Ovis aries: one gene and its partners. Each later gene encodes a partner of the first gene's protein in a complex. Links are inferred from orthologs where the notes say so. Each region holds a gene or a part of one and is shown on either strand. Other genes may lie near its edges.

The links.
Region 2: ACTL6B (region 1) and SMARCD3 share a complex: the UniProt entries of both Homo sapiens proteins name them as parts of the BAF complex. The link is inferred for Ovis aries from reciprocal best matches to the Homo sapiens genes ACTL6B and SMARCD3.
Region 3: ACTL6B (region 1) and SMARCB1 share a complex: the UniProt entries of both Homo sapiens proteins name them as parts of the BAF complex. The link is inferred for Ovis aries from reciprocal best matches to the Homo sapiens genes ACTL6B and SMARCB1.
Region 4: ACTL6B (region 1) and ARID1A share a complex: the UniProt entries of both Homo sapiens proteins name them as parts of the neuron-specific chromatin remodeling complex. The link is inferred for Ovis aries from reciprocal best matches to the Homo sapiens genes ACTL6B and ARID1A.
Region 5: ACTL6B (region 1) and ARID1B share a complex: the UniProt entries of both Homo sapiens proteins name them as parts of the neuron-specific chromatin remodeling complex. The link is inferred for Ovis aries from reciprocal best matches to the Homo sapiens genes ACTL6B and ARID1B.

The regions. Positions count from the first base shown.
Region 1 is NC_056077.1:36,353,335-36,358,127, reverse strand, and holds the start of ACTL6B (actin-like protein 6B), read right to left. Parts: upstream 3,121-4,793; 5' UTR 3,037-3,120; coding exon 3,012-3,036; intron 2,583-3,011; coding exon 2,163-2,582; intron 1,864-2,162; coding exon 1,763-1,863; intron 1-1,762. UniProt on the Homo sapiens protein: Involved in transcriptional activation and repression of select genes by chromatin remodeling (alteration of DNA-nucleosome topology).
Region 2 is NC_056057.1:115,430,700-115,434,941, forward strand, and holds the end of SMARCD3 (SWI/SNF-related matrix-associated actin-dependent regulator of chromatin subfamily D member 3), read right to left. Parts: coding exon 4,169-4,242; intron 4,058-4,168; coding exon 3,935-4,057; intron 3,691-3,934; coding exon 3,595-3,690; intron 3,396-3,594; coding exon 3,294-3,395; intron 3,053-3,293; coding exon 2,891-3,052; intron 2,446-2,890; exon of another isoform or gene 2,129-2,445; coding exon 2,031-2,128; exon of another isoform or gene 1,876-2,030; coding exon 1,740-1,875; exon of another isoform or gene 1,721-1,739; intron 1,503-1,720; exon of another isoform or gene 1,497-1,502; coding exon 1,374-1,496; exon of another isoform or gene 1,267-1,373; coding exon 1,165-1,266; exon of another isoform or gene 989-1,164; coding exon 935-988; 3' UTR 807-934; downstream 1-806. Other genes in the region: CHPF2 (chondroitin sulfate glucuronyltransferase), read left to right, coding at 1-522. UniProt on the Homo sapiens protein: Involved in transcriptional activation and repression of select genes by chromatin remodeling (alteration of DNA-nucleosome topology).
Region 3 is NC_056070.1:71,294,894-71,299,166, reverse strand, and holds part of SMARCB1 (SWI/SNF-related matrix-associated actin-dependent regulator of chromatin subfamily B member 1), read right to left. Parts: intron 2,703-4,273; coding exon 2,565-2,702; intron 1,902-2,564; coding exon 1,774-1,901; intron 1,592-1,773; coding exon 1,425-1,591; intron 1-1,424.
Region 4 is NC_056055.1:240,201,083-240,205,861, forward strand, and holds the start of ARID1A (AT-rich interactive domain-containing protein 1A), read right to left. Parts: upstream 2,991-4,779; 5' UTR 2,228-2,990; coding exon 1,082-2,227; intron 1-1,081. UniProt on the Homo sapiens protein: Involved in transcriptional activation and repression of select genes by chromatin remodeling (alteration of DNA-nucleosome topology).
Region 5 is NC_056061.1:81,556,989-81,561,261, reverse strand, and holds part of ARID1B (AT-rich interactive domain-containing protein 1B), read right to left. Parts: intron 2,938-4,273; coding exon 2,728-2,937; intron 1-2,727. UniProt on the Homo sapiens protein: Involved in transcriptional activation and repression of select genes by chromatin remodeling (alteration of DNA-nucleosome topology).

The DNA of each region.
Region 1 (4,793 bases):
GAGCAGAAATTAAAAGCTTTATAGAAGAGTTGAAAAAGAAATTAAGGGAATATCTTGGAAATTAGAAGAAAGAGATACATAAAATATAAAAGATGAAAACATTAGAAGAAGACCAGTTTAGGACGTATAAAATTCAAATAATAGGATTTCCTAAGAGAGAACAGAGAAAATTGAAAGAAATAAATCAGCAAATAAGTAATTAAATTTTTAATTGAATTGAAAGACATAAGTGTCCAAATTAAAGAGACACATTGAGTGTCCAGAGCCATGAAAAAAAAATAAACCAATATAATATTGTGAAACTGTAAAACACTGAGGACAAAGTGAAAATTTTATAAACTGTCAGAAACAAAAATAATTTACATCAAAGGATCAGGAAGTAAATGACCTTGCCTTTCTTAATGGCAACAGTAGATGTTGGAAGAATTGAAGAAGTACCTTCAAGATTCCATAAAAAGGGATTTCCCTGGTGGTCCAGTGGCTAAGACTCTGCACTCCCAATGCAGGGGGCCTGGGTTCAATCTCTGGTAAATGCATGTCACAACAAAGACTGAAGATTCCATGTGGCACAACTAAGACCTAGCACAGCCAAGTAAATAATTTTTTAATAAAAAATTCCAAAGAAAAATTATTTCCAACCTGGAGTGTTATACCTAGCTAAACTATACATCCAAGGTTAGACACGCAAAGTCTCAAAAATGTTACTTCTTATGTCCTTTCTAAAGCAATTACTGGAAGATGTGCTCCATGAAAACAAGGGGGAAAAAATCAAGAAAAGAGTCATGATCCACTGGAAACAGGACTTGTAATACAGGAGAGAGGTGCAGTGTTTTCTTAAGATGAAGGTGAAGGGAGATGTCAGGATTATAGCTACATCTTCTGCAGAGAAGCTAACTAGTCTACAGCAGAGCAGGTTGGTAGGCTCCCGGAGAGATTTCTTGGAGATGAAATTGATAGAACACCTAAAGCAATTAATGTCTTGAGGAAAGATAAAGATAACTGATGAATAATTTCAGGTCACATTACTAAGTAGATAGAAAATGAAGAAAAACAGAAACAAAGAAAATTTTCAGTGCTAGAGAAAACAAATAATTGCACAAGAGAGGAAAATAAATAGTTTATTGCCTGTCTCAGGCCTGATTAGCATATATAATAATAAGAGTATAAATACTGAATCTTAAAAAAAAAAACCCCAAAACCCTAAACTGCAACAGTACTTCAAATAAGAAAAAAATGTGTATGGTGTGGGTTGGGGAGGAAAGAGAGCTAAGCGCTCATTTTCTATAGTGGGAAACCCATAGATAATACCTAGAGCTAGAAAAATTCACAGTCAGTGATTTATGATATTTAGAGATATAAAAGGTAATGGCAAAATAAAAGCTAAAAGAGAGAAAAGCAATTGTCTCTGGAAAAGGGATAATAGAAGGAAGAGGCTATGCATGGCAGTTTATAAATAAAATTGATTCTATATAGGTGTATATAACATTGACCAAAAATTTCAGTTAAAAGGTCACACGGGGACTTGGGGGGTGGGGCATCGTGTAAGGATGACTGGCAGAAAGGCAAGTGGAGAGAGCAGAAGAGAAGGAGGCATGGAGACTAACCCAGGGAGGAAGGAAAGTGGTTGAACTTGACAGAGTTGGAAGGAAAGTTTGAAAAGCAAAGAAAGAGGAGTAATCACTCCTCTTGAGGAGAGGAGTGGCTTGAGGAGAGGTGAATGGCCCACTCCAGGGCTGTACTAGGGACTGGACTATGCACTTACCGGGGCCTCTGACATGAGCACTGGGTGCAGGTTTGGCTCAGACTTGACATGCTTGCTGTAGGTGTGATCCAGGATTGCACGGAAGCACTCCCAGTCCTCAACTGGGGCCAGGACATCAGTGGAGAGATGAGGGTGGGCAGGCAGGGGTCCAGAAACAGAAAGGAAGGAGGGAAGCCAAGTCCAGGGGAGGGGAAGTGAGACAACGTCCAGCAGAAATCCCCCCTTTCCCAGGAATCTGGTGGACCCTTGTGAGAAACCAGGCAGCTTTGGGAAGTAGTGAGGGCATCCCTGGGACTTGGGCAGCTGCAAGGACTACTCCGTGAATGTGGGGTCCTGTGCCCCGGGTTGTGGGGTGTGGGTTCTGGGTCTGTGTCAGGAGCCGGTAGTGGGGGCCCCATACTCATGCCATTCTTGAGGGGAGACATGACTTCTGCTCCATCTCGAGGCACGTGGAGGGCGTTGGTGTCGATGTGAAAGATTTTCCCTTTCTTCTCTTTCTCCCCCTCCAACTCCAGCCCGCCCCCCTCCTCCGCGGCCAGCAGCCCCACCGTGGTGGGGAAGTCAGCCTGGAGCGGGGCATGGACAGGAGAGAAAGCCATATCTTGCAGGGCCCTCAGCCCACCCCCTGGGTTTACTCCCACATTCCCGCTCATCAGAGCTTTTCTCTGGGCGCTGAGAGCCCTGGATGACTGGGAAGCCTGGAGGGGAGCCCTAGGATTTGGGCAGAGGGCTGGAAGGCTCACCTTGGGGCAGTCCTCCCCAGCGTACCCAGCGCGGACTGAGAAGGAGCCAATGTCAAAGACCAGCGCCCCCACCTCATCTGTGCGGGAGACAAACTTGTGAGGGGTTATCTCCCAAACTCTCCATGGATTGCTCCGAGAGGAGATCCCGGCAGAGCCACCTTCAACCCGGAAGGGTCAGATGGGAGCTCGGCCAGGAGTTCAGGGTCCTGGGAGTGGGAGATCAAGACTCCGAAGTCCCTTTCTGCCCAGTGGCCCTGTTCCTTGCCTGGCTAGAGGCCGGGCGGAGACGGGTTGAATGGTGGAGAGGTTGGGCCGGGTACGCGCAAGCATTCCGAGGAGGGTCGAAGGTTGGAATGATGCAGGACCCAAACCCGGGGCTGGAACCGCTCGAGCGCAGAGGTGACAGGCCCCAGGGTGCCCAGAGCTTGGGTTGCATGGGTTCGGGGCGCTGGGATTCGGGCGAGGCCGCGCCAGGCTGGAGATCCCGAAGTCCGAGGCTCGCTCACCTCCGCCGTAGACGCCCCCGCTCATAGTGCCCTCTCAGCGCTGCTCGCGGCCCGTGGGCGGCGGCAGGATCAGCACCGAGGCCGCCGGACAGCTCCCGGGATCCCGGGCGGGGCGGGGCTCGGGACGGCCAATCGGGAGGCCAGGTCCCCCGCCCCCAACGGCGCCGCCGATTGGCTGAGAGGCGAGACAATAACCCGGCCGGGGGCCGCTGCTTTAAAGGGCCAGCCACCTCAACCTTAGGTGGCGGGGAGGGGATTGAGGGGAGCGAAGACCTGGAGGGTGGTTCTAAGGGACAGGCTGGAAGAGAGCAGGACTACACAAGAGATTCCTTGTCCATTCGAAGACCTGCGGGCTGATTGAAGGCGCCCTTGCTCCCTTACTTTTAAAAATGAGATCTAGGAGAGGGCGCCATACTCTTGGAGACGTGGCCATTCTCAGGCTCCTGAGCAAGGTTCTGCCTTACCCAGGACTGAATGAAACCTCGGGGAGACAAGGGAAGGGAAGAAGGGAGGGAGAGGTACGGGAGGGGTGTGTCTCCATTTTCTCCCTGTTTCTTTCCATCCTTGTCTTTCTGATGGCCCCTCTTCTCCTAGCTGGTCCCTGTTGGCCTCATACATACACACATGTACACACGTGGCTCTCAGCTAACATTCACCTCTCTTTCATCTGTTTTTCTCAGGAGTTATTTATCAAGCAAGTACGTTTTCCCCTAGTAGGCTACTAAGTCCTTCTGGGCTTCCAGTATGAGGCCACCTCCACAGCAGTTTTGACAGAGAAGGGGAAGGAGCAGTTCTGACAGCCTGGCTCAGCTGAGAGACTCTTATGTGAGCATGTGTGTAGGTGTGTGTCTGTATGTTTGTGTTTGAGTGTGTCAGCATATGTGAGCACATGCATGTGTTGTTGGCCATTCTCAGTCATGTCCAACTCTTTGTGGCTCCATGGACTGTAGCCCTCTAGGTTCCTCTGTCCATGGGATTCTCCAGGCAAGAATACTGGAGTGGGTTGCCATTCCCTTCTCCAGGGGATCTTCCGGACCCAGGGATTAAACCTGGGTCCCCTGCATTGCAGGCAGATTCTTTACCACCAGAGCTACCAAGGAAGCTCTTGTGCACATGCATCTGTGTGTACATATGTGCATATGAATACATGCTTGTGTTGGGAGCACTCCCACCTACTTGTTTAGGGGTGAGTGGAGCATTAAGGCCAGCAATAGCAGAGGAAGAGGATTCTGTGTGGTGACTGAATGCCCCTGAAGTTCTCTAGTTACCAGGTACTCACTCTGTAAGGGCGCCACCCTTCCTCAGCCAGAGGACAGATGGTTTGAACTGGCTCATCCGTTATCCACTGGTGACAGTGGCATTTCACATTCCCAGGGTTTGTTCTGAGTCCGGACCTGGCTCCCACTACTGGAGGCTTCGGTGGGAGGGGTGAGCTGTAGGAGAGAGCTGACTCAGGAGCTGGGAAACTGAAATAGTCCAAAGTGAGCCTAGGGTCAGTCATCCGCCTCTATAAACTGTGGTCTGGATGAACTGGAACAACCCCTTACTTAACCTCTCTCTCAGTGCCTCATTTCTTCATCTTTCAAAATGCTGAAGTGAGAATTAAAGGAAGACACTGGATGAGAAGTGATCCTATTCATGGCCTGCACCTCTCCTTTTGGTTGTCATTGAATGATGCTGCTTCACTTCCCCTTTAAATTCATCTTGTCAATTGCCACTATTCCCTTCCTTATCCCAGTCTGGACCACAGATTCAGAAACTGTCCCAGTCAGGGGAAACTTT
Region 2 (4,242 bases), on another chromosome or scaffold:
ACCAGGCCAGGGCCCGAGGTCCTCAACCGCTGCCGCATGAACGCCATCTCCGGCTGGCAGGCCTTCTTCCCGGTCCACTTCCAGGAGTTCAACCCCGCCCTGGCACCACAGAGACCGCCCTCGGGGGCCGGCCCCGACCCCCCTTCCCCTCCGGGTGCGGACCCTGCCCGGGGGGCTGCCGGAGGGGGCAGGTTTGACCGGCAGGCTTCGGCAGAGGGCTGCTTCTACAATGCGGACTACCTGGCTGCCCGAGCCCGGCTGGCCGCCGACCTGGCAGGCCAGGAAGAGGAGGAAGCCCTGGAGGGGCTGGAGGTGATGGATGTTTTCCTCCGGTTCTCAGGGCTCCACCTTTTCCGGGCCGTGGAGCCAGGGCTGGTGCAGAAGTTCTCCCTGCGGGACTGCAGCCCTAGGCTCAGCGAGGAACTCTACCACCGCTGCCGCCTCAGCAACCTGGAGGGGCTGGGGGCCCGTGCGCAGCTGGCCATGGCCCTGTTCGAGCAGGAGCAGGCCAACAGCACCTAGTGTGCTCGGGGCCCCGCACCTCCACACACAGCCCCTGCCGGGCCCCGCCTGGGGAGGCAGGCAAGATGCATGGACAGATGGGAGAGCTCGCCGCTGTGTTTTTTTTTTTTCAATAAGAAAATGTTATTAAAAGTGTCTTCTGCCAAACTGTTTTTAGGTCTAGGAAAAATGGGAGTAAGGAGACTCTGAGGGAGGGGGTGGGGAGCTTCCCGGAGGGGCCCACTGCCCTTTTCCTGCCCCCCTCAATCCTCCTCTCGCCCCAGTTGCCAATGACCACACGGCTGTTATCAGGTAAATGACCTTTAATCCAGCCCCTGCCTCGCCCACAAGGTGTCGGGGGTGACAGCCAGGCCCGAGGGGACGGGCCGGGGCAGGGCCGAGTGGCCCTCTGCGGCACGCTTCCCCCACGCGCCTAGGTGTTGCGCACGACCAGCGACTGCTCCAGCTCCTGCCTGCGCTGCTGGATCTGTAAGGAAAGGAGAGCAGGCACAGGTGACGAGTTGCTGGTGAGTGACGGGACGGGCCCCACCCACCTGGAGGAGCATCTGGGAGCAGGCACGGCCCCACGTGTTGAGGGGGAGGCTGGGGGGTTTCTCTGGGGGTGAGCAGGGAGCCGGAGGGGCGGGGGCTCGGGCCTCACACCTTGCAGTAGAAGTAGCGGCTGACGGCCTCCTGGGACCAAGGCTGGTGGTAGAACTCAGCCCGGCGCTCCTCCTCGGGGTTGCCCGCCACGTCTGTCATCACCTGGGAGGGAGCAACAGGGTCATCCTGAGCCTGGACACCCCCGCATGACATTCACTGTCTCCCCGGCATGCTTGTCTCTACCCAGCGCTCCCCGAGGTTCCCTTCACCTTAAGGTCCCGGCTCTGGGAGCGGAGGAGGTCCTGGATGTAGCCCTTGGGGTCTCTGGAGAAGCTCAGCATGAAGTCCCTCTGGATCTTGAGCTGGTTAATAGACTCAATCGTCTCGTGGATCTGCAGGTAGAAAGACACGTGCTCTCGCCTGCCCAGGCTGAGGTGGGAGAGGCGGGGAGGGGGCGTGGCAGGGGGCTCTCGGCTGTCCCCTGGAAGGGCAGTCCCCGGGAAGGGGGCTCGGGCGGAGCTCCAGGTCCCAAGGGCAGGGCCCTCCCGTCCTCTCCCACGTCCTTGTCCTGCTGTGTCTGTGCGTTTGTCACCGTTGGGTCCCCATCCTGTTGCAGCGCTGGGCTCCAGCCCCACCTTACTGTCCAGAGCGCTGATCTCCTGCTGGTTGGCCGTGGACAGCAGGAAGCTGCTCATCTGCCCCTTCAGGGGCTCCTCCACCTCCACGTCAATGTCATAGCACGCCGTCTTCTTCTGGTCCGACGGGTCCACGCTGCCAGGGAAGGCCAGCCCTTGTGTCCATGCTGCCCCGATGGAGGCCAAGGGCCTCCGAGGCCTGATGTGGGGGGTGGGCAGAGGGAGGGATGGGGCGGCGGGACCACCATAGTGACTCCCAGCTCTGAGAAGCAGGGATGGGGGGGGCCTCACCTGATGACATGGTTGATGACAATCGGGTCAGGGGGCAGCAGAAGGGCTGTGAGGCGCTGGGGAATCTCAGAAAACTTCAGCCGGGGACAGTCAAAAATCTGCAGTAGGAGAAAAGAGGTTCCCTGCTCTGCACTCAAAAGAGCCTTCATTCTCAAAAGGCCCCCCAAGCAGCCAGCTCTCAATGAGGAGGCGGGGGCCGGCCTGGGCCTGAGGCCTGCTTCCTCCGCCCACGGCGCAACCCCGAGCCGCTCAACTTCACAGTCGGCCTCAGTCTCTCCATCTCTGGGAGCCGAAGGCAGGGGCACTGATCTCAGGGGGCTTGTTAGAATTAAATGCGTCAGTTACACACGAAGTGCCTGAAGCAGCGCCTGGCATGTGGTGAGTGCTCAATAAACACTGACTGTTGTTTTCACCACTCAAGGCTACCTGTGGTATTTATTTTAAAGTTATATTAATAATAACCTCTAGTTTGGCAGTATCACTTCCACAGCAGTTTGATTCTCCTAACTGCCCAGTGGGTAAGACGGGACAGGCGTGGCGAAGATAAGGAACAAGGCTGCAAACAGCTAAATGACGGACCCAGTGACTGGCTCCAGGGCCAGAACCTGGGGGCCCTAGCTCCAGGTGCCAAGAACATGTTCCCCAGAGCCACTAGCTTCCTGGGGTTCCCAATCGGCCTCACCTGGGGGCTGGGGGTGCTGAGACAGGCGGGCTGCAGCACAGGGCGGTGTGACAGAGCCCAGATGGGAACCCCGGTCTCCGGCTTGAGATCATTCCCGACGGAGTCAAGGAGGCAGGGTGGTGGTCCCGAGCAGAGGCCCTTCCCCTCCCCGTGGCCCCAGGCTCAGGGGAGAGGGTACCTGCTGGAAATACTTGTCGCCGTTGATGTACTCCTTGTCGTGGGAGTCCTGCAGCCGGTTGGTCTTCACGTATTGCCACAGGGCCTGGACGATGGCCGAGCGGCTCTGCGTGTGCAAGCCCAGCAGCCGGGCCAGGCGGGGATCCAGTTTGAACTGGGGAGGCTGAGCCAAGGAGGCCATGAGAAAATGAGACAAAAAGAGAGCGGGAGGGGCTAGGGACTCAGGACTCGGGGGCTGCGGGGCCTAGGCTCCTTGGAAACAAGCTTCTGGAGCAGGCAGGGTGGAGGGGAGAACGGGGTCTCTCAGGGCATACAGCTTGCAAGCCATGACCCACCCCAGCTAGGAGAAGGGTACAGGAGGCGGGATGCTGGGGGGAGCGGTGTCTGGGAGTGAGGGCACGCACCTGGTAGTCCAGCATGAGGAGCAGCGTGCAACGCACACTCAGGTCCCCCGGCCTCTTCACCTGGAACCCATCCGTCTCCTGAGTGGTGGGTGTCCGGTGCCACTGTCCAGGGGTAGGAGCTGAGTCACCTCACAGGCCCGTCTGAGCTGGTGGGGCCTTGGAGCTCTGGGTGCAGGACTGGGGGCCTGGCGGAGGGGGTCCCCGACCCAGGTCTACACCACGAACGGGACTGCATTCTAGGTTCTTTAGGACAGTGGCCTGTGGCCAGTTCGAGGGCAGGAGGGGTCTGGGCCTTTCTTACCTCCACGAGGTGGTTGTCAGGGCCATAAAGGTCTTTGTCCAGCTCAATGACCAAGCTCTTGAAGAAGGAAGAGAACTTCCGCTTCTGCTTGCTGGGCTGTGGGAGAGGCACGGACCGTGGGCGCGGAACAGGGCCCACGGTGGCAGAGTGAGTTGGGAGCGGGTGGGGGCTGGCCGGGTAGGGCCACACAGTCAGAAGCAGGCCTGGGCACGTCTCTCTGGACCACCCTCCCGCAGCCAGGGCTGACTTCCCCAGCCCTCGGTGTACACATCCAGTACCGGCCTCAGCTCAGCCCCATACCCACCCCAGGACACCTGGAGAGACCTGGGCCAGGACGTACGTCATCCAGGAGCTTCCCCTCCACCCGCAGCTCCCAGGAGGCGATGCTGCCGTCAGAATCCTCGGCATCGGGCTTCGCAGGGTTAAAAGTATTGGAGATATAAAGACGCAGCTTGCGCTTTTGCTGTAGAGATAAACAGTGTCATACAGAGCCAGTTCCCAGGGGGCCAGCCCTGGCTTCTCCCTTTCAGGGACTAGGACTTGGCGCCCTCACCCCACCCCCAACCCAAGGCACCTTCATGGGCCGCTTCAGAGCCTCCTGGATGTCCACCCGCTTCCTCATGATGGTCTGATCCAGTTTCCTCTCAA
Region 3 (4,273 bases), on another chromosome or scaffold:
CCACTCAATGAAGGACAGTCTTTGCAACCAGTGGTTTTGGGAAAAAAGAACATACACACGCGGAAGAATGCAGTGGGACACTTACCTAACCCCACAGACAGAAATTAGCTCAAAATAGATGGGACATACAAACGGAAGAGCTCAATCTATAAAATTTTCAGAAAAACAGAGCAAAGCTTCATGACGCTGGATTTCGCAGTGATTTCTCAGATATGACGTCAAAGGCATAGGTGATAAGCGAAAACATAAACTGGACTTCACCAAAATAAAAAACTTCTATGCATCAAAAGACACTATCGACAACATAAAAAGGCAACCCGTGGAAGAAAACGTCTGCACATCACAGGATCTGGAAACGATCGCTCTCTATAAGATACAGGGAACTGATGAAACAACAAGAAAACAACAAAGCCCGGACTCAAAATGGGAAGGACTGCAGCAGACGCAGAAGATAAGCAGACGGCCAGCAGGGCCCCGCAGCAGCGAGGGAGGCCCACAAAGGTCCGTACCCAAGGCCGTGGGCTTCCAGTGGCCGTGTGGGGATGTGAGGGCTGGACCATAAGGAAAGCTGAGCACCAAAGAATTGATGCTTTTGAACTGTGGTGTTGGAGAACACTCTTGAGAGTCCCTTGGACTGCAAGGAGATCCAACCAGTCCATTCTAAAGGAGACCAGTCCTGAATATTCACTGAAGGACTGATGCTGAAGCTACAATACTTTGTCCACCTGATTCGAAGAACTGACTCATTGGAAAAGACCCTGATGCTGGGAAAGATTGAAGGCAGGAGGAGAAGGGGACGACAGAGGATGAGATGGTTGGATGGCATCACTGACTCAATGGACGTGAGTTTGGGCAAGCTCCGGGAGACGGTGAAGGGCAGGGAGGCCTGGCGTGCCGCAGTCCATGCATCCCCAACAGGACTGAGCCACTGAACAAAAACAAATCAACAGGGAAACGCAAATCGGAACCACAGGGAGATGCTGTTCACCACCAGGCAGCCCTTCTTGAGGGGGGCTCGGGGCAGGTGGCCCCCTCTTTTCTCGTGACGGCCCCCAGGACTGCGGGGGTTGCTGAGACAGCAGGAGGTGTGCCTGGCCCAGCCTGCCCACAACAAGAGTGGCAGTGTGCCCGCCTCGCTGTGCCCTTCCCTGCTCTGCCCGTCAGCTGGGTCACCCCTGGGACCACCCAGCTTCCGCTCCACGCCTGGCAAGGCCGCAGCAGCACCTGGACGCGCCCAGAACGTGATGCCCTCCTCAGAAGTCGGCCCGTGCCCCTCCTGGGACAAGCTGCCTTCCAGACAGCCTTCCAGAGCCCTGCCCCACAACACAGACCCCAGACAAGCTCCTGTCGAGGCCTCCACGCACCTCCGCACCTCGCAAGCCCCGAGGACAAGGCAGGCCTGCTGCGGGTGAGGAGCCGCCTACCTTGATAATGACGCGCTGGTCTGACTGGTCTTCCAGGATGCTGTCCGTGGGGTAGGACTCGATCTGCTGTCTGATGGCGGAGGCAATGGCCGGCACGAATGTCAGTGGGTTCAGATCCAGGTCGTCACAGAGAATCTCTGAGAACATCTCCGGGGTCATCAGCTTCTCTGAAACGAAGACGGAGGTGGGGAACCACTGGTGGACCACGGGGCCTAAGGTCAGGTCGCTCAGCCCTGGCCTCCCCCAGCCCTGCCTCCTCTGCCACCCACCCCTGGGTGACGACAGGACCCCCCCCCCCAACACCAGGCAGACAGAGCTCAGTGCACGCCAGCCAGGGCGGCGGACGGACCATTCATGTTCCAGGTAAAGGCGTCCCGCAGCTTCTGCCCGTCAATCTCCATGTCCAATCGGATGGGGACCAGCACCTCGGGCTGGGACGCATTCTCGTGGATCACAGCTGGGTCGTGGTCGTCGAAGCTGGAAGGGAAGCGGCCGCATGCTCAGCAAAGCGGGCTGTGTCCCTGTGCCCAGGGCTTCCCTCTCTGCACCACTGGTCACTGAGACCTGCCCAGAGAGGACCTGTCCACTAAGGGCTGAGCCGGCAGAGACAGGGCCGGTGGGGGTCCACTCAGGGTGGGAGGGGAGCTGCCAACTTGGGCAGCGGGACAAGCTCAGATGTTCCCCCCAGGAAGAGAGGTTTAAGCCCCAGAGCAGGCAGGATTCTCCCAGCAGCTCTGGGGAAGAAAGGGTATGTCCAGAAGAAGAAACCCTGGAACAAAGGCCGAGGGGCAGGAGGGTCGAGGAGCGGCTGGCGGAGCAGGGAAGGAGGGGTGCTGACCGGGCCGGGGTGGGGGGGACCCTGGGGAGCCTCGGTGGCCAAGTGCCCAGGGCTCCGTGCCTGCAGCCTGGACCCCGAGGGAGCCCCAGAGCACGGAGAGCAAGGCAGCTCCGCGCTCACGCCTGCCCTTTAGAATGGGGAAGAGGGAAGAGACGGGGGCGGTGCGGGGCAAGGAAAACAGGCGTGCCACCCCCCCAGACCCAGGGGTGATAACTGCTTTCCAAGGACGCAGGGGCGCCGCCGACAAGCAAACAGCGGGAAACAGCCCGCAGGCGGGAGGCCACACGGCCGAGGCCCCTCACCAGAGTGGGAAGGTCCGCTTCTTGTCGCGGCCCATGCGGTTCCTGTTGATGGTGGTGGAGCAGGGCACGGCATCTAGGTGGTGCGAGCTGTTGGGCAGGGTGGGTACCCACTGGCTGTTCCTCTTGGCCTTCTGTTCCCTGGGAGACAAGGACACCCATCTGCTCAGCCTATGGGCCAGAAGCTGCCCCTAGCCACCAGGTCGTGGCCAGTGGACGCCCGCTGCGCCCCTGCTGGGCCCAGGCCCCCGTGCGGACCTCTGTGCGCCCAGCTCCGCGGTGGCGATTCTCCAGGCTCCGAGTGGCACCTGCTCGGGGTCACCAGTTTTAGGGGAGGAGAGGGCAGGGGGCCCCAGCCCAGTCCACGAGCTGTCACTCTGTGCTGTATGCTGGGCTGGGCACTCAGGAAAGAAGGTCAGGGTTCACAGGGGAGTGGGGGGCAGATTTCCAGGAGAGCCCCGAGGGCAGCAGAGAGGAGGCTCGGGTCAATGGTTGGGCAGGGGGCCAGGACTGGAGACACAGAGAGGGTCCTGACCTGGGGGGGGCCCTGCCCTCAGCGGGCGGCTGAGAGTCCCCGGGGGTTTGCACACTTTCGATCAGGCTGTTGTTTCAGATGCATAGTCCAGCCTGAGACAACTAACGCCTCTGGCCTCCCGGCCTTCAGGGGTTGGAAGATACTCTAGAAAGCGGGACTCAAAGTAACTCAAGGAACTCGCGTCCCACAGGGGGAGCCCTTCTCTCCAATTTACAGGGGGCGTTTACTATGAGGAAAATAACAAAGGCATTTTGAGCTGAGGCTCCCGGGCTGGGCTGTCCGTCTGCGAGACCGCTCGTCACCCCTGGGCCACGTCCCCGGTGGCCCAGGGAGCAATCAGCCCAGCGACTGCACAACTCACCTCTGCAGCCCTGTCCCACAGCGTGTCACCATCGGTGACGTCCGCTCAGTTTCCCGCTAGGACAGCAGCCTTCCAGGATGGGGGGCGGGGGGAGAGGCGGTGGCCTTTTCACTCCTCTCTGCAGCGGGGGCCCCTCGTACCCCAGCGCCTGGGCCCAGGAGCACCCCTTGGGGTGGGGTGGGGGGAGCCACACACCGAAGGAAGCCAGGACCCCCCCGAATCTCCTGCCCTGCCCTGACACGAGAGACCTGGGGAAACAGGGCCCGGGGCTAACGTGGGCAGGACCAAGAGCTGAGGCGGCGAGACGGGGTCCCCGCCACAGGCCATCTGGCTCAAAGTTTCTACTCCGGGCCTGCAGGCCAAGAGGGAAAAGGTGCCCACTCAGATCAGGTGCCTCCCGTCTCCAGGGGTCGCCTGCGAGGTCGGATCCTTTGTAACTTCCACGGGCGAAGCTGGCACGCTGGGCCCATGTGGGCAGCATGGGCGTGGACCATCACACTTTTCCCCATTGAGTCTCCAGCCAGAGCTGTCACCCAGGTCCCCCGAGGGCAGCTCCCCTCTTGCAGCAGCCTCTTGTATCTAGGCCGAGTCTGCCCGGCTGACCCCTCCTGCCTGATGGCCTCACGTGGACAATGCAAGTCATGTCGCAGCATGCGAGCGGGGCGATGCAGCGCCACGCGGGGTCCGGGCATCTGAGTCCCACCACTCAGCCTCCCTTCCACTGCAGAGAGGTCTGTCCAAGAGCCCCGGGGGGCATCCAGGCCCTGCCTGACCTGGCTAGTGTGGGGGAGGGGGCGTGCCACCCCTCCGGGGGGC
Region 4 (4,779 bases), on another chromosome or scaffold:
ATCTATTTCAGGCTGCATAAAACATAACAAGCAAAATAAATCCAAGGTACAAGCAAAATCCCACTGCCTCCTCTTTTGTTCCGGGCACAATGTAACAAGGGCAGCCTGTCTGGGGCTCTGCTCCTGCTGATACAGTATTGCTGCTTAAATCTCCCTCCTCAAGGTCACAGCCAATTTCAGCTCTGGAATAAAAGGCAGATAGTGGCAGCGATGGTTTGGGTTATCACTGGCAGAAAAGCAGAGTGTAAAAGTTTATGAGCTCATCAGGATTGTTGTACCATTACATCAGAGGCAATTATAAATGGCCAAGAGCAGGAGATGGGGAGCCAATCAGATCACAGATAGGATGTCAACCTAAGACCAACTGTCTCCTGGCTTTGACAGAAGGATTTTACCTCCATAATTCAAATCCCAAACCAAAGCAATCTGCACTTACTACTCCAATCACTCAGCTGTTTACCAGCACTTCCAGGGAGAAGCCCAGGCCACTGGGCCGACGGAGACTAAGACAGGAGACGACCTGGGCTGCCCAGGGTGAACCGAAGCCGGGCTCTAGCTGCTCCCAAGCAGGCCCCTGCCCTCCCTCGAGGTCCCCCCGAGCCCGAGGGGCCCCCTCCTTGAAAGCACAGATGGGGACCGGCCTAGAGGAAGGTAGGGAGGGCAGAGAGGAGCGGCAGGTGAGCAAAGAACTGTTCACTCAACTCCCGACCTCCGAGGGCTGCCTACACCCCTAACCTGAGCCCCCAACACCCCCTCACCCCGGGCCGGGCCCTTTTCCCGCACACCCGGCTCCGCACCCCTCTGAAGACCCCCCGGAGCTGGAAGGGACCCGGGGAGGAGGAGGAGGGGAGCAGACACCTCAAGGAAAGCCCCACACAAAGGCTGAAGGAGGGAAAGAGAGGAAGGCAGACGGGCAGCCATTTTAAGAGAGAAAGAGCGAGACAATGGCAGCTCCCCAGCAGTGGGGGCCCCAGACTGGGGGTAGCCCACGGCCGTGGCCCGCTCCCCGCCGCCGCCATCCACTCCCAGGACCCCCCCGCCCCACTCGCCACAGCCCCCCCTACCCCACCAGCCGTGTTACCTGCGGGGTCCGGGCGAGCGGCTGCCCCCCGCCGCCGCTGCTCCCAGGGCTCATGGGCGCGTGGTGGCTCCTTTGTTGGGCCCCTCCCGAGGCGGCCGCGGCCGCCGCCGCCGCAGCAGCAGCAGCCCCCCAGCACTGAGAGGCCATGTCCGCCGGGCCCTTGCCGGCGCCCCCGTCCTGGGGCCCGCCGCCGTAGTCGCCCCCGGGGTAGCCCTGGTAGCCCCGGGCCGAGCTGGGCGACGTGAGCAGTTGGTTGAGGGTGGGGGTGGCGGTGGGCTGGGGGGTTCCCCCTGCGGCCGCTGAGGGGCCGCCTCCCCCCATGGCCCCGAAGCGCTGCTGAGCGAAGGACGAAGACGACGAGGAGGCGGAGGCGCTGGAGGAGGGAGGCGGCTTGGAGCCGGCGGCCGCCGCCGCCGCCGCGCCGGAGCCCGGAGTGCCACCTCTCGGGGAGCTCAGCGCGTAGGCCTGGGGGGGCGGGGGGTAGGCGCTGCGGTTGGGGTAGTAGGAGTTGTACTGGTGGTTGGGGAAGCCGTGGTCGTGCGAGTTCTGCTGGGGCCCCGCGTAGGGCTCCAGGCCCCCGCCGCCGCCGCCGCTCTGCAGCGCTGCCAGGCCAGGGCTTTGTTGTCCGCCATGTTGTTGGTGGAAGACGGCGGCCGCGGCGGCGGCGACGGCAGACGGGCTCCGGCCGTAGGGTTGCCCGAAGCCGTAGGCTGGGGGCGGCAAGGCGGCCGCGGCTGAGTGAGGAGGCGCCCCCACCCCGTCGCTGCTGCCGCCGCCACCGCCGCCGGGCGGCTCCGTGAGGTTATTGTTCAGGGCGGGCCTAGGGCCCGCGTTCCCGTTCGAGTTCTTCAGGTCCGGCTCCGCGCCGGGCCCGCCGGCTCCGCCGCCGCCGCCACCCCCATTGCTCTCGGCCCCGTCCTGCAGCTCCTTTCCCAGTGGCTGCGGCGGCCCCACGGCGGGGCCCTCGCTTTCCTGCCCGGCGGCTGCCTTCATTTCCCCGCGCTCCGCCGCGACCGCCGCCGCCGCCTCGCCCCCCGCCTCCTCCCGCTGCTGCTGCTGCTGCTGCTCCGCTTTCTTCAGCTCCGAGGGCGGCGGCGGCGGATTGCCCAGGCTGCTGGCGGCGGCGGGGGCGACCTGCGCGGCCATGATCCCCGCTGTCTCGTCCGCGGAGAGACCCGGCCCTGTCTTCGTCTTCTCTCACCCCCCTCCCACCCCACCCCGCCCCGGGGCCGAGTCCCCCCGGGCTTCCCTCCCCACCCGCCCGGGCGGGCCTCGCGGGGCTCCGCGGCTTTTGCGCTGCGCTCGCTCGCTCGCTCGCTCGCTCGCTCCTCTCCCCCCCGCCCCGCCGGCTCAGGCTCCGGGCTGGCGGCGGCGGCGGAGGAGGAGGAGGCGGCGGCGGCGGCCGAGGCGCCGGCGGCTCAGCTGCTCCCGGCTCTGTAAGCTCGGGACCCGGCTCTCCCGGCTCATTCCCCCCCAAGCCCTTGCCTGGGAATGAGGGGGGCGGTGGAGGCTCCGCTCCCCAGGGCCTGGCCCCGCTGTGACTCTCCGCTTTCTGCTGCCGGAGAAAGGAGGGAGGGAGGGAGGGGAGGGAGGGAGGCGAGGGGGAGGGGGCGGGGAGGGAGGGAGGGAGCGGGGGGAGGGGGACCCGGGACGGGCGGGCTGGAGGGCGCGCGGCAGCAGCCCGGGCGCCGGCAGGCAGAGTCGGAGCGTGGGCCGGGCCGGGCGCCCTGCCTCCCCTCCCCGGCCGCGGCGCCGGGCCGAGGCTGCTGCGCGGCGGCGAGCGGGCGAGCGGGCGGGCGGCCGGACTGAGCGGCTAGAGCGCCCCACTCTCCTCCGAGTCCCCCTCACTCCGACACGAGGCTCAGCACTGCCATTTTACCCAGCGCCGTCGCGGCCGCCTGGCAAACCCGGAACGGAGCGCGGAGCGGGGCGCAGGCCGTGGAACGGACTCGCTCCCTTCCCCTCACAAAGGAGGAGGGGAGAGAACCAGCCGCGGCGGCGGCGGCGGCGGCGGCAAGCGCTCTGCCGCTCTCGCTCGGCAGCGCCGCCGCCGAAGGCTTCGGGGAAAACCCGGCCCGGAGCTCGCGCCTCTCCGGAGCCTGCGCGCCGCCTCCCTCCTGGCCTCCCTATCCAGGTCGGTCCCCTTCGCGCCGCGGGCAGCGTGAACTTTACTCGCGGCTGCAAAATTGGCCTGAGCCCGAGACCGCGGCCGCCTCGGCCCAGGCCTGACCCCCCCTGGCAGCGGGCCTGGTCTCTTGGCCGCTACTTAGCATCTCCGCGGCACTTTTCCTTCTTCAAAGCCTTTTGCAGACCTGCTCCAAAGACCCAGCTGAGCTTTACGTTGTATCCTCTTTGCAAGCTGCATGGAATGACAGATCATTGTTTCAGACTTTCCGTTTTCCCACTCTCTGCCCTCATTAGCCGGTCCTCACAGGCCCTGGGGGCACGAAGTTCCTGATCCCCATTTTACAGACTCATAAGATAGCGAAGGGGACCGGCCTATCACTTAGTCTATCACTTACAAAGACAAGGGCAGTGGAGGGTGACTTTAAAAAGTAGCAGAGTCCCCAGTGCTGCCCCTGTCTACTTAGCGTTAGAAATAATAGTAATAAAAAGAAAAGTGGTGCCATATACAACAGTGGGATCAGAACATCAGAATGGGTTTGAGATTCAAGCTGGTCATCTCAACCGATATAAAATGGTCACCCCTGAAGATATTTTGGGGACATATGACCGCCTTCTTGGAGGAAGACACAAGCCCCACCTTTGCCCACAATGACCAAGGTCCCGTCTCCAAAGACAGTACCTGTAAGACTGTAACAGACCACAGAAGAGACTCCAGGGACTGGTGGAACCTGAGTGTTCAAAGGAACCTCTGCCGAAGAGGGATGACCAAGTAGAGGGAACCGTTTTCTCCTTAAAAAGAGAGAAAAGGTGCAGTCTAACACCTCACTCAGAAAACAGATGCAGCCTAAATTTGTTTTTCTATCCTTCATTGTAAGGAATCATTAAAGTTTACTGTTACATTCTAAGAGATGCTGAATGGGAGATGCTGAGTGAACTGGAGGTATACACAGAAAATTCTAGATTCACAGGCTCCACCACATCTCAGCAGCAGCCTTGTCCTCTGACTGACTTAGAATGCTCTGACATGACAGGCTACACAGGCCAGAAGGGATACCGGCTTCTCACGAAGCCCAGGGCTGCCTTGAGAGATGCTAGGTCAGCTAGTCATTAGACACCAGGGTTTCATCCCCACTTAAATATTGTAAATAGATGCTTCATGGCCACAGAACCATTACCTTAGAATTTCCAGATTCCGCAGGCCCCTGGAGGTTTTTTGGCTGTGCCACTCACTGGCCACTGAATAATTCCCCAAACCTGAACTCATTCTTAACCCCCAGAAAACCTAATATCATCTTAAACTAAAAAGGCACAAACTTCTTAAGACTCTAAGAGTGGTGTTTTCTTCGCCTCAAGCCAAGAACCAAACCAGCCTACCAGAAACTGACTGACTGGAATGGACCAGTGCCCTCCTTTCATTCATAGTCCTCAGGGGCAACAACTCTCCTGGTGCATCAGGTCCTAGAAACCAAATTATAGGCTGCCTCAGAAATGGAGCTTGGCTATTTAATCAACTGCCTCTGAGCTGGCAAACAGTCCTGAGTCCTGCACACAAATGAAGAATTTTTTACATG
Region 5 (4,273 bases), on another chromosome or scaffold:
CATTACTCCCACTCAGTAGTGCCTAGACAGCATTTACAGTTATAAAACCATTAAGGAACCTGCTGATAGCTACATAAAAAGCTTTGCTCACGGAGATTCTTCTGCCCGGTGCATCTTCTAATGCCTCCGAGTCTGCCAGAGCGGGTGCAGCCCGGAGCCGGCGATTTATCTCTGAGCAAAGGTGCTCTTGCTCACCCCCATCTCACTCTTATTTTTTTTATAAAAGGGTGTCTAAAAACTAATTTAAAAAGCAATAACAGAATTATTTTGCAATTTAAGTATCTGAGCCTTAATAAGAAAAACAATGTCTCCTTCCAACAGCCACAAGCTTCCAGAAAGATGAGCCTCATAATTTCTGTTCATGCCCAGTCTTTCACGTGAGGCTTTCTTGTAGTGTTGGGTGAAGGAGGCCCCAACCAAATGAGCCCAACCTAACAGTCCAGCAGAAGTCATCAACCCTGTCTGAGCTGTGGAGCCACCAGCTAGCTGACATGGCAGCACCAGTGGGCTTCGGAAGGGGCACATAGGACCATCCAGTGTTCCCACTTGCACTCAGGCTGGAGGGAATACAACTGCAAAAAGAGAAGAAAGGAAGGGAATCCTCAAATGTTATATAAAATTTGAGCAATTGGTTTAACTTTCTGATTCCCAATGGGAACAGGTCACACGAGGCTGACACACGAAGGAAACATGAAGGCCTGCAAATGCTTGGGGAATATTTTGCCTTTAGATGTGTCCTGTATTAAGTAGCATGAGTTAAAGGGACAGTGAGTTTGAATGAAATGTTCAATTTTTGGATTCAAACTTCCTCACAAAGCTCTTTATGTCCATTTACTTAGTATTAAATGGTGCGTGAGAAACCAGAGAATACTCTCGAGAATGCTTAGTGCCATTTTTGGTACTGAATGCCAGGCTGCAACGGGCAGGCCTGTGACTGCTTCTGAAATCACAGGCAGAGTGCTGCCTGGGACACCCTGAAAAGCAAGGCTTTTAGCTGATCCCTCTGGGGCTGCAGCACCTGTTTGAACCACATCTGATGGGGTGTGAGTGACAATGCGGCCAAGGCCTCACCGCTGGGAATCACTACTACATTCAAGCAACTTCATCAGCTAAGACCCAACCTGGGAGTCCACTTGGCTGAGTGAGGTGTCCTGATGGTTCCTTGCTTCTGTGAGCTGGGTGAAACCCTTCGCTGGCCATCACCCACACCTGGTCACACCTGGTCTGCATCCTGTGACCCCATCTGATTACGCCTTCTGGAGTCAAGCTCTAATTGCTTTACTTGGAGGCCTCAGTCTCGGGTAGGAGGAGGCTCCTCAGGGAGGGCTGAGAACAAAAGCCTCTCCTGCAAGCCCTGCAGCCCAGATACCAGGGTGGGTCCTCAGTGATACCTGTGCATCAGCTGACCTACCTTTGGATAGTGAGGCCTGGAACACCTGAGGCCCGGAGCAGCTCCTTTCACTAGTCTGGGAAGGAGCCCAGGAACTGACAGGTTTTAAATGCTCCCAGGTGCTGCTAATGAACAGCTAGGTCGGAGAACCAAGGGCAGATAAAGGGCATGCGCTTCGCAATCAAACAAACTTGGCCCCACCACCTACCCTGAGAGTCCCTGGGCCACAACATTCTTGTACAGTCGGCCTTCCCTGTTCCCTGGTTCTGTATTTCTGAATTCAACGAATTGTGAATTGAAAGTACTGAAAAAGAAAAAAAAAGCCCCCCCCCCCACCTCGCCCAAAAGAAAGTTCCAAAAAGCAAAACTTGAACTTGTACCAGCAACTGTTTACATAGCATTACACTGTATTGGGTATTATAAGTAACTGAGAGATGATCTGAAGTATATGGGAGGTGGTGTGTAGGTTCCAGAAATAAAGAGGCTCGAGCTCACAGGGTTTCAGTATTTGTGGGGATCCTGGAACCAGTGCTCTGTGGACCCCAGGGGACGACTGTACTTCAATCTGTTACATCTCTTCTTCAGGGCTGATGACTCTGCATTCCATGGGTGTTGAGAGAGAAGTGACAAGAAAAAGGATGGTGCCCAGGATGCGGCAGGCACTCACCCTTGAAGGCCCTTTTCTCCATGCTACTTCGGGATATGGACACACAAACCCTTCCCAGGGCTAAAAACAGGGCTGTGACAGGGAAAGGAGAATGCGGCCCCTAGGGTACAGAATGAAGGGGCAAGTGCAGGAGAGGCATCTGCACTACCCCATAGGAGTGCCTCCGGGCACTCTGCACCTGGGTGCCCCCAGCTGTGGGAAAGGACAGCATTGCCCCTCCTGTCATCCAGGTACAGCGGACATGGTTGTAGAAGGATGACAGTTTTCTTGTTAACTTGCTCTGGATAGAGGGAAACAGTGAATTTGATTTATATCTGATCCAGACAATTTAGTCATTTGCAAAACATTTCTGTTTACTATGAAATTCTAACACAGATTCCACAGAATTCTAGAGCTGTTAGGGACCCTAAAGCAAAACCTAGCTCAAATGTCTCATTTTACCGTTGAGGATTGAGTCCACATAAATGACCTACTGAAGTCACTCTGCGAATGGGTGGCAGATCGAGGTCCCTGACCCCAGGGCAGCCCCCGCCCCCGACCTGCCACACGTGAACATGGATCCAGTGAAGTGACCTTCCCAGAGGCTCAGCTTTTTCTTTGTGAGAAAAAAAAATTCAAGTTTGCATATTCAAAGCTCATCCATAGCATCTCCTCATTCATCTTTTCTCACCTGTGCCAAACCTCCGATCTCTTTGACGCAGACATAGAGTCGGAACAGGTCCAAGGGCTTCTTGCCCACCGCAGGCAGACTTGAGACCGGGGAGCCCCTCTCCTCCATGAAGGTGAGGTAGCGGTCCACCCACAGCTTCCTCTCTGGCTCATTCCCCAGCTCATACACCTTTGTGATCTTTTCCCCAGTGGTGGTGGATGAGCTGGACTTCTAGAGCCCAGGGTAGCATTTGGAGATGGGGCATAAGTGGGCCAAGGGAAATGGAAGAAGGCGAGAAAAAAAGTAATGAGCTACCAAATACAAGAAGAGAAGAAATTTTAAAACTACTGCTATCACACAACAATCAGGAATGAAGGCTACTAGTTCAGGCACAAAGTATACATTTGCTTAATTAAAAATTTACTTTAACTAAAGGGCCCAAACTCCCCCTTTTATATACTTGAAAAACAAAAACAGAATAAAAATCTTTTTTACTTTATCAATATAAGCGTTGAATCCCAGAAGGCAAGACTCCAATGACCTCTCATGTCATTTTTTCTTTTTTTTTCAAAAAGGGTACAAGTTCATTGAATGGCTACACTGAGTTTAAAGTTCCAACTGTAATATTATAGAGCCCCCCTCCTCATTACATAGATGCCTACATTTCCTTGTCAAAATATAAATGACCAATGTATGGCTTTATTAAAACTAAATCATATGGAGGTAGAGCACATACATGATGTGTGTTGAAAAATACAAGGTTGGTCACACGTCATTGGACCCAGCGGTGTGTGCACTTTACATTTGAGAGCCTTCTAAATTAATGGCCAGTTACTAGCATTCTCTCAGAATGATCCGCTTTCTTGACTTAAGATTTCTTGAACTTTTCTGCCAAGGTAATTTTAATAGATTTCTTAAGCAAACATGTGTTCATCACAAACACATGTGCTATTTCATACTCCCAGATTTACGAACATTTACTTTTATGCACCCATTTGGTTTATACTGATGTTCTAATTCTTGGTATTTCATTTTTCTAATTTTATATTTGATACTAAAATGTCAGAAGTGGCTGTTTCTGCACACCTGAAGCTCACCCTCTGGATTATGTGATCTGGGAAGGTAATACTTTTTGTCCTAAACAGCCCAGCTGTATATTTTCCCTTTCTTTTATGTCTCTGTATTTGTAACAATATTTGTGTACTTGTAATATCTGCAACTATGGGATTCTTGTGCAAAATCACTTGTAAATTCTCAATTAAATATTTCCTTGGAATAATAATATATTTCATTTAGTCATGTTTATTTACTGGGTTATCATTTGAAATGTATAGTATTATGTTAAATGAATTTTTTTAAACTCTTTTTTGTTATATTTAGCTCAACATAATTTTAAACATGTGACCTGAAATGGGGATGGTGAGTTAAATAACATAACTGTCATCAAGGTTTGATGCTACCTTGTTTAGCAAAGTGATTCCCAATAAAACTAGGGCCTGAGAAAGGATGGTTGAGAATGAAATTAATCAAGCTGATGGGTGGCAGAGGTCCTTCCAATTAACATGTA